Arabidopsis thaliana: one gene and its partners. The protein of the gene in region 1 interacts with the protein of each later gene in a pairwise test. Each region holds a gene or a part of one and is shown in the gene's direction. Other genes may lie near its edges.

What was found.
Region 2: the proteins of AT2G35910 (region 1) and CRK19 interact in a protein complementation assay, tested with the Arabidopsis thaliana proteins (one large-scale study listed by BioGRID).
Region 3: the proteins of AT2G35910 (region 1) and NAC097 interact in a two-hybrid assay, tested with the Arabidopsis thaliana proteins (one large-scale study listed by BioGRID).

The regions. Positions count from the first base shown.
Region 1 is NC_003071.7:15,072,420-15,076,180, reverse strand, and holds AT2G35910 (RING/U-box superfamily protein), read left to right. Parts: upstream 1-2,040; 5' UTR 2,041-2,302; coding exon 2,303-2,956; 3' UTR 2,957-3,294; downstream 3,295-3,761. Other genes in the region: AT2G35920 (RNA helicase family protein), read right to left, coding at 78-223, 334-603.
Region 2 is NC_003075.7:12,168,947-12,172,707, forward strand, and holds the start of CRK19 (cysteine-rich RLK (RECEPTOR-like protein kinase) 19), read left to right. Parts: upstream 1-2,070; 5' UTR 2,071-2,186; coding exon 2,187-2,952; intron 2,953-3,043; coding exon 3,044-3,181; intron 3,182-3,272; coding exon 3,273-3,394; intron 3,395-3,684; coding exon 3,685-3,761. Other genes in the region: CRK18 (cysteine-rich RLK (RECEPTOR-like protein kinase) 18), read right to left, coding at 32-157, 272-1,109.
Region 3 is NC_003076.8:20,677,361-20,680,863, forward strand, and holds NAC097 (NAC domain containing protein 97), read left to right. Parts: upstream 1-1,861; 5' UTR 1,862-1,864; coding exon 1,865-2,051; intron 2,052-2,077; exon of another isoform or gene 2,078-2,113; coding exon of another isoform or gene 2,114-2,153; coding exon 2,154-2,425; intron 2,426-2,523; coding exon 2,524-2,646; 3' UTR 2,647-2,914; downstream 2,915-3,503.

The DNA.
Region 1 (3,761 bases):
AACGATAAGCAAATTCATGACATACTCTCACCATATGGACTTAAAACGAAGTTGTCGAAGAAGATATAGAGACTTACAAGTAAAGACCCATCTGCAAAGCCATATCAGAAAGTGTTTGCTGATCTCCACGGCTAAAATTACGCTTAATTAGCATCTCTTGTTCTCCTCCTGTTTTCCATTGCTCAATCTTGTTCCACCATTCATTCTCATCAAGTACTTCCATCTGAGATAAATTATGACTACTTCATCATCTGATTCGAAATTATGTATCAATGTCTAATCGTTAAATTGAAGTAATGAACTCAGAATCTACAAGAACAATGTATCAATTACCTCAGCTTGTTGCTGGCGCAAACGCTCAGCTCTCCACACAGGATCCCACCATCGCTGTTCCCCCCGGCCGCCACCACCACCGCCACGACCGCCGCCGCCGCGTCCACCACGACGACCGGAGGAATGACCTCCGCCTCGACGACCACCTTGAGAATTAGGACCGTGAGGAGGCATAGCGGCGGTGTGAAAGAGAGGACGAAGCGGAGAGAGTTTGGAAGAAAATGGAAGGAGAAAGCGAAGCGTGGAGAAACAAGAGAGGGACTGTTGCATTCGTAATGAATATAAAGTTTGAAACAGTTTAAAGTTGAACTCGCACTGACGACTATTTTTGCTTATTGGAAAATTTTGTATTGAATTTTGTATTACACTATACAAGATAACACACACATATGATATGAGTGACTTAAACCTAATTTAGCTTCAACTTTCAACCATACATACACATTACACATATGAGTAAATCTAATATCATTAGCCGGAAGATATGCGCTTTTTGTGAAATTACTAGATCAACAGTATTTGATACATCACCAAACTGATAGCAAATTAGTAATGATGGAACTAATTTGTGACACCACCAAACTGAGTCAACTATGAGACTTGGACAACTTATTCCAAGAGTGAGTTAACAATAAAAAAACAATGTCAGGATTATAACATTTTTTTCTCTCTTATTATTTCTTCCAAACTTTTTATGCCTAGTAGTAAGTGTTTCCTTTATATATTTGGCCTAAGTAGCTCAATTAGTGTTTGAGTGTAATTTCATATGTTTTGAGTATCCGGCCCAAATATATGGCTTGAAGGTCATAAATTGTTTATCTAAATTCATATTGTTTTAGATGACATAGACTATAGAATATATGATTGGGAATCCGGAGCTATGGGTTTTAAAAGCCCATAGTTACTCTACTGATTGGGGAAAAAAAGAATTGAAAAATTGGAAGAGCGGCGGCAATAATTAAGTGTTCAATAACAATGGTGTATTCGAATATCAATTAAAATTCACTGAATACATTCATTCTTCACCAAATGAATCCGCCCCTGGATAATATACGTTCATTTATCTCCATTCTTAATTACATGTATATCTGTTTATATACTATCATAGCTAGTGTATATTAAAATATACATCATGCGAGCATGCAATGACGCATTTTCTTCATTAATAACAACTGTCCAACAGATTGTTTTCCATTATCAAAGATGCCTTGTGTTAGTAACTTGGCCGTTAAGTGAATGATTTTTATCCTATGGTAGTTTGCCAAAATATAATTTTATGTAATACAAATGTTAATGCCCACGACTCAATTGGTTAAATTTGGATTTCCTAGTATATACAAATTATTTACCTACAATTATATTTTATTTTATTGTCTTGCCACTTTTAGGAGAAAAACAAAACTTTATATTAATCTTCTAATATGGAGAGATTTCAAAGTTTTAAATATTCTAATACTAAAATAAGATAACACTGCGACTTTAAAAGCAAGTGAAGGAAACTAAACGTTGCTTAGGTGACATGATTGGACTTAAATAAGCCTGAATAAAGGAGATAACTAAACGTACATAAACAACAAGATTAGTATATAAGTACAACGTTGACTTCAAACTAATTCAGCGTAAACCTTCTCTAATCTTAGCCACTGGCCCCTCCCTACATTCCTAAATCAAATCTTAATACATGTCACACGTTAAATTCATTAGCCCTGTATCCAATTCAATTGTGCAACTAAGTGTTTTATGTTTGAAATAAACAACGAATTAATGGGTCAATATATTTATATATGCGTTATACTATTACAGTATTACCAATACAATATTAGAAAATTTATACATTGAATATTTTTTTAACCATCCACAAGTCACACAATTCTTGCTTTGCTTTGACAAGCTTTCTTATCCTCATTCACATGCATTTCCTCCCTTTGTCTCTCTCTCTCTCTTAGCGTTGACTTTTGATAACCCCAAGATGCTTCAATTTACATTGTCTTATATCAAATCGCTGACCAAAAACCTCTCCATTATTTCTCCTCTTCCTCCTCCCAAACCCATTAAACAAAACCATCAAACCAAACCCGCCATGAACAATTTCCAACCACCGCCACCGTCCGAGATGCCGGACTACAACGGCCTCCTCGGCACGGACGACATAGGAGGATTTCGATACGGAATCGGTGTCTCCATCGGGGTCCTCCTCCTCATCACCACCATCACCCTCACCTCATACTATTGCACACGTAACCAGCTCTCTTCTTCACCTTCACAAACCAACCAAGATTCAACACGTATCCATCACCATCACCACCATGTCATCATCGACGTTGTCCCCGGTCTTGACGAGGACACCATTCAAAGCTATCCAAAGATTCTCTACTCGGAAGCAAAGGGACCAACAACGGCGTCGTGTTGTGCCATTTGTTTAGGAGACTACAAGGGAAAACATCTGCTGCGGCAGCTACCAGATTGCAACCATCTCTTCCACCTTAAATGTATCGACACGTGGCTTAGACTCAATCCTACGTGTCCTGTGTGTCGGACTTCGCCGCTTCCAACTCCTCTGTCTACTCCCCTCGCCGAGGTTGTCCCTTTAGCCTCCTCCGTGGCCGCCACAAGAATGTCCTAGTGATTTGTTTATTTTATAACCGAAGAAATCGAAATCTTGACTAATCTCCGGCTTAAACTCGTTATTAATTCTTCTTTTAATTCCTTGTAAATTTGTTATTTTTGGTCACTAACTGATCACTGTATATACACTCTTCGAAGCCGAAGATTTGTAAGAGAAAGGAGGTTAAGGATGAATTTTTCACAATTTTGTTGGATTAGTTTTTCTTTAAGCAATGTGAACGAGTTTATCTATACATACGTACCAAGAAAGAGTAATTAAAGTCGTTTTGAATATTGGCAAATATGTTTCTTGGCTTGTATTGAACTTTGAGAGATCATTTTAAATATTGAGACGTCAAAGAAAAAAAAAAGAGTTTGAGGACAAGTTGGAACTTAAGATAATGGGATCGAATCAATTAGGCGTTTTTGATAGTCAGTCTGACAATCTTTCTCAATCATATGGTTTATTTATTAGCAATTTTTTTTTTGTTAAACAAAACCAGATATTTAACAGCGTATTTGTCTTATTGGGTAAACCGTTAGCCAATACATATGATGATATGAGAAAAAGACTTTTATGAGGACCTTAAGAAAAGATATAAAACGTTGATTAAGAGATATAAATCAAGAAGAAAAAAAACACTTGAAAACGATTGTTTTTGTCTCCAATCTCAAGCTGGCTGAAATTAAGTAGGTGAGATGATAAAAATGAGTTGACCATGATAAAACTACTCTTATCTTATTTAAAGTATTCGGTAAACAAAAATATTACTCCAAATATTAGGAACCATGATCGAGAGAGAAAACATGGTGAAAAGCTCAAT
Region 2 (3,761 bases), on another chromosome or scaffold:
AGGTTTTAACAAACAAACAAAGAAAACTCACTTGGAAGATCCATTTCTTGCTTTTGCTTTCTTCTATTGGAAATAACAAAGCCTAAAACAACCAATATTATTGTAACAACAGTAACAACAACTATTGCTGCGATTTTTCCTCCTGATATTCTACTATCTGCACAAAACACAACTCATCAAAAGCATAAATACACAAAAACCAAAAAAAGAAAAAAAAACAAACAGAAACAAAACAAGACAATTTTCTGAAAATGTTCCAACAAGGACTTTCCATTCTTGGTTATGTTGGCTATAGGAGACGGGGATGTAACTGAAGGCGGCGGTGACTTTGGTAAATTAATCTGATCAATAGCACCAGAGAAGGGATACACTTCCCATCGGAAAAAGCAGTTTGGCCTTGACATAACGCCGCCTTGGTGCCCACGGCAACAATTATCATAGTCGACAACGTTTTGCCGTAAGCAAGTGTTACAATCCTCTGACGAAACGTCTGGTGTGCATTGCATCAACGCTGATATGTTCTTAAAATCCGGCACAAGAGCTATATCGTCTGAGTAGTACTTAGACGAATTGTTCCCCCCTGATGAAGAAGAAGTTATTCCGGCGATCATACTAGAAGTTAAATTATTCCACTCGATATCAAACACAGTCTGATTCGTATTGAGTTCTCCTGTGTTGAATATCGCTCCTAGTGGATCCATGACGAGCAATCCAGAGAAGGGGCGGTTAGCGTAGCGAACAAGGCAAAGGGTTTCTTCACCTGACCAGAAGAAAGCATCTGCCTGGTCCAGACAGCTTTGTAGTAAACTCTCTGATGTGGACCTGATACAGAGAGAGCAAACATCACGCTCAGAACCTGGAGCGCACATCCCGGTGGCAAAGACTTGGTCAGGAGCAATCCCAATCGAACCGATGAAGTAGCCCTCCTGAGCCGTGACGTTAGAAGCTAGAGTAGAGAGGATGAGTCGGCGGTTCTTATCATAAGGACTATTGGGTATGAAAGTCCCAGTAGTATTGTCACAAGTTTGTGCAGAAACAGAAATTGCACTGAAGCTTATGACGAAAAAGACGAAGAAACAGAGGACTAATTCACAACTCTTCGTTGCCATTTTTCTTTTTTCTTGAGATAATGTGTGGGTGGTGTAGTTAGTATTTGACTATTTGTGGTTCTTAGAAATTTAATCATCAGTTTAAAATTTCCATTTGAATAACCATGCACATTAATAAGAAATTGACAACTTTGAAATTTTTGTGCTAGACTTGGACTATGTGAGTCAATCTTTGATATTAGGTTTTGGGGCTTATGAAAGAATATACATGTTAATCATTAGCCTCAATTTCAACGAGAGCTAAAAACCGTGATCGATGCATCATCTACGTACAGAACAAGGAAAAGACCTGCTAGTAGACATGCTTGGAGGATGTGAATGCATTTAATGACTCATATCTAAAAAGTCAAAACACGCAGAAAGAAAAAATTGTCATCTCAAAACACGCAAAAATGATCAAGCTAGATTCGATTTGTTTTCTCCACAAATAAGAAGCATAGTGACTTTAATTTTGTGATGTAAAGTGTAAAATGCTATTTTTCGGTTACGTAAAGACATCTTCGATGGTTACTTCTATATTTTCCTTTATTTTTGAAAAAACTTTATTTTGGAGATGATCATTAGAATACAATTCTTTTAAAATAGAGTTGAAAATGGTTTAAAACTTTTTTTTTTTTAAGAAGCTTAAATTACAGCGTAAATACAATTTAAGACAATATTTGCGGTACTCTCCTCACGCTGATTTTTCATGCTATCATAATTCTGAATTTCTGATGTCCACGAAAAAATAAAAATATAAAAATAATATCTTGTATTAGAAAATTGAGAGAGAGAGAGAAAAGATTCTTTTCTGACAAATAATATCTTATCATATCCAACTAAGTTAGGCTGTTTTTTTTCCTTTAATTCCTGACAAATAGTTTATTGTAATTTAGAAATCGTAACTACTCTCTCTTTGTCTTTTTTTAATAATAGTTATTATTTTGCGCGATACAAGTTTGACATTACAAAATAAAATAAAATAAAACCGGCGTTTACTAAGACTTGTTGGTCTCATAGAAAAAAGGGAAAAATATAGTTCTAGTTTCAAAAATTGAGAGCTACATGATCTGAAACCCAGATCGAGGAAAAGGAACCATGTCTTCTCTGATCTCTTTCATCTTCCTTTTCCTTTTCTCATCCATCACAGCTTCTGCTCAAAATACTTTCTACCTATATCATAATTGTTCAGTCACGACGACTTTCTCAAGTAACAGCACTTACTCCACCAATCTCAAAACCCTTTTGTCCTCTCTCTCTTCCCTTAACGCTTCTTCTTACTCCACCGGATTCCAAACCGCCACGGCGGGACAGGCCCCCGACAGGGTCACCGGACTTTTCCTCTGCCGCGTCGACGTCTCGTCGGAAGTTTGCCGTAGCTGCGTCACCTTTGCCGTAAACGAAACGTTGACTCGGTGTCCAAAAGATAAAGAAGGCGTGTTCTATTACGAGCAGTGTCTGCTCAGATACTCTAACAGGAATATAGTAGCCACTCTAAACACCGATGGAGGAATGTTCATGCAGAGCGCTAGGAATCCTCTATCAGTCAAACAAGATCAGTTCAGAGATTTGGTCTTGACCCCCATGAACTTAGCCGCCGTTGAAGCCGCCAGGAGTTTCAAAAAATGGGCTGTGAGAAAAATTGATTTAAATGCATCCCAGAGTTTGTACGGAATGGTTCGGTGCACTCCTGATCTTAGGGAACAAGACTGCTTAGACTGTCTGAAAATAGGCATCAATCAAGTAACCTATGACAAAATTGGGGGAAGGATTCTTCTGCCGAGCTGTGCTTCAAGATACGATAATTACGCGTTTTACAACGAATCTAATGTTGGAACACCTCAAGATTCATCACCACGTCCTGGTATGAACAGTCCCTTTCCTTTGACTACATATTTCAACACAAGTTTCATACAAGAATTTTGCTTAAAAAATTCTTGCTGTTGTTGATACAGGAAAAGGTGGAAACTCCTCTGTCATAATTATTGCAGTTGTTGTTCCAATCACTGTACTTTTTCTTCTATTAGTAGCTGTTTTTAGTGTCAGGGCTAAAAATAAGAGGACGCTTAATGAGAAGGAACCAGTAGCTGAAGGTAAGCACACCAGTGATAAACATATCTCCTCATAGAATGAATAGTCTGTTGTGCTCTTACTTAATTCAGCTGTTGAAGTTTTCTTTTCCAGATGGGAATGATATTACGACTGCAGGATCACTTCAGTTTGATTTTAAGGCAATTGAGGCAGCAACGAATTGCTTTTTGCCAATTAACAAGCTAGGTCAAGGTGGTTTCGGCGAAGTTTACAAGGTATTATTACCATTGAACAGAGCAATGTACTCTGTTTTTCCCCTGTTTCCAAATCAAATCTCACACACATTACTTCGAAAGTTGAGATGTATGGGATGAGTGCAGCAACCTTGTACTTGCAAAGGTTGTTGCGGAACAAAGAAACTCTAGTCGTTAATTATCATCCTATATTTGTAACAAATACTAACTTCTACTTGTATACTTGCATTTTGAGTACTTCATTTTCATGATTAATCTTACCGACAATTCCTATATACTTATGGTTATCTTAAAATAAATTACTCGTGTAGGGTACATTGAGTAGTGGACTACAAGTTGCGGTGAAGAGACTATCGAAGACATCAGGACAAGGTGAAAAAGAGTTTGA
Region 3 (3,503 bases), on another chromosome or scaffold:
TTATGTATGTCGTTGCTTAAGAAATGTCGCTAAATCATCAAAATCTAAAGTAAAAAGAAGATTGAAAACAAACAAATAAAGGAAATGGAAAGCCAACATCTTCGAGGTGAAGAAAAGTACCAAATCCAAAATGCTGCGTGGGAGGAGTAAGACATATGATTCTAAATTGACAAATTTAAAGCTTTTTCTATATCCTTTATGAATATAAAACAAATAGAGCTTTGCCTACTTTCAACACATGAAAATTATATAGAGAAATTTTGGACTAGAATTAAAGCTAGATGTTAACAATTTAAAATATTTATCAAATATAAGCTAGTCATGTTGCATTCGAATTAAGATTCAGCAAAAGAAAGCTGATGAATACTCTCTTCCAAGTTCCAACCAATTAAACTAATCTCGATTCCTTAACAATGAAACAATCATCTTTAATCCATTTCATTTTCTTTTCTTAGTCTTTCGAAAGACAAATTATGTAACCTTTATTTCTAGTGTATAAAACATAACATTATACAAAGAGGACTAAACCTAAAATGCTATTTGTAAAAATCAAAGGCTGATGCTGGAAAGTTGAAGCAAAAAATTGGAACAACTTTGGTTTGGTGGGGGCTTTGGGAGCTTTATTGATCCAAGGAAAAAAAGGAAGGATAAAAGGCAAGTCACCAGTCCAAAGACACACATATATACAATAATTTATCTAAAATAATTGAAATTAAAGAAGTGCATGAGAGTAGAAAATTGAGTCAGACCAACATCTAATAACTTACTCGTTAAGTCAGCTTCTCAAATCTTTAAGTTGGGATCGACTTGGACTCTCTTTCAAATTCACTTTTGTTTTCTGAATATACTTTCTTATATTTTTCTTATTTCTTAATCATTGCTTATGCATATTTACTTAAATTTATTGTTTTAAAAATGTATTGTATCCCGACATTATTATTTCACTTGCCAAATGATAAAGACAAAGAAAATTTTGATTCCTCGATGATATAAGTTTTCCTTTTCCACGTATAAATTTATACCAAGAAATGATTTTACTACAAAATTATAGGTTGAACGTACGTCCAAAACTTTCGCTTATTTATGTACATTCATATCTATAATTCGTATATCATTCCGACATTACTATAAGAAAAAAAAAGGGTCGCATGGATATTTTTACATGGATGATATATACACTAGTCCCTAAACATGTGTAAGGTCCCTAACATAAAGGTTTGTTTTCTTTTTCGGTGTGAAAACATTTCAGATTTGGAATAAACACTGTGGTAATTTTTCGGGTTTAAATCCACTCTAAACACTTACGTGTATTTTTACCTGGGCTAACCGATCGGCTTATGAAAAATAAAATTTCAAATGCATGTTAAAATTAGTTCTGGGCCAATTGTTAGAAATGTGCTCGTTTTAGTTATTGATGTTGAATGTACTTATATGGTAATGAATCAGCGTGGATCTAGGCTTTTGGAACTTAAATCTTGTTTATTTCGTTTTGGTTGAAAAAATAAATAATTACCTTTGCCCAGGAAAACGAAAAAGGAACTAGATTATCTTTACCAAAAAAATAAAGATATTTTTGAATACTCGCTATATTCAAAACCTTAACAACGTTGACTGCATGGGTACATGCACCACAATTTGTTATGATGATCCTCGCATTTAAATAAACAAAAATGAAACCAATCTACGATCTCTGAATTTGCAGTTATCAATTTTTTTTTATCTATTTATCTCTTGAAATTAATAGTAGTACGTAAAAAGTATCTAAAGGAAAAGCAGAATCCGCTTTTGCCAAACTAAAGGTGACACACTCATAAGTATATATAAACAACCTAAACCAAACACAAAGGATACTCATAAGAAAGCAATGGACATTTCTGCGCAGAGATTTGCCATGAACGGAAGAAGCATGAGACTCCCTCCCGGGTTTCGGTTCGATCCCGATGATGAAGATCTTGTGTTCGAGTATCTCGCCAAGAAGGTCCTCCACCGTCCAATGGACTTCGATCTCCCTGAGCTCCGTTCTTGCAATGTTGATCCATGGGACTTGCTAGGTTTGCTACAAACTCTTCTCTCTAATAATTACTATACCATATCACGTCAAATGTATTGAAAAATGTGGTTTAGTGAATGTTGTACGTACACTTTTGTTGTAGGAGAGAAGAACAAGGAAGTGTATTACTTCGTGAAGAAGGAAGAGCGAGAGAGGAAGGGAAGAGAGACGTTATCCGGTTATTGGGAAGAGTGTGAAGAAGAGGAAGTAATGGAGGCTGGTGGTCGTGATTGTATTCATTTAGAAGGAAGGAGAAAGACATTTGCTTTCTTTATTGGAAAAAAACCTCGAGGGACAATAACTCCATGGATCATGTACGAGTTCCGACTTCTTTCCTCTAGAGCTACAAGGTGGTCATCGTCCCCTCTACCTCGGGTGAGTCACTCATTGGACTTTTATCTTTTTCTATAACATATATTTTTGTTGTAAGTAATAGTTTAGAGCTAACTATATCAATGTTTTGGGTTTTAAAGGGTGAGGTAGGAAAATGGAGGGCGGTGAAAGTCGTAGTGAAGGAAGAGAATGATGAAGAGATGGTGGAGGATGAGCACGAGTCTGACGAGTCTGATGGCGAGGAAGTTATTCAAAGCCGGTGACGACCGAGGTTGATGCCATAAATATATGTACTTGGTTTTGTGGTGAATCGTTTGAATTTAGTTACTATTGTTAGGATATTAGGGAACATCTAAATGAAATATATATGCATGATTTGTCTTATTGTCTTCCAAGCCCTTTGGAATGGAATGGAATGTAATTGAGGATGTGGTGAAAGATGCCACAAGTTGCTTTCACTCTCCCGTTTTATTTTGTTCTTGTCCAATTATATATATATATATATTATTAGTGGTCCGTTAGACCAATCCATCCAACATCACATGAGGAGGTCTTCCCACAATATAAATACAACTAGATTTTAATCCGCGATATACCGCGGGACGATTTATTTTTTAAAAGTAATATATATTAAAATTTGCAAATTTTATTTTTATAAAATATTTATATTTTACAGTTTATAATTATTATTAAGTAACGCTATACCACGAATCCATGAGACAATTTTTAAAAAACTGAAGTTGTAACCCCTATTAAAACAGCATATTAATAATATTTTAAAATTTTATAAATATTGATTCAAATACATCCACCATATAATCCAATTCCAAAATAAAACCTGTTGTATAATTTCTTTACCCGTCCCGTGATTTTTTTTTAAAAAAGTAATTTTTAAAATTTAAGAATTATTTTTATATATAAAAGTTTTGCAAATTATATCATTCTCTAATACATTTATATTTTATAGTTTAATTTTATATATAGTAACATTATACATACTACATAATATTTTCGGTTTTATATAATCTTTTCTAAATTAGGATGATTTGATATGTTTAATATTAGTGGTCTTAAAAAATAATAAATTAAATATTTAACCAGTATTGAAACGGTGGATTAA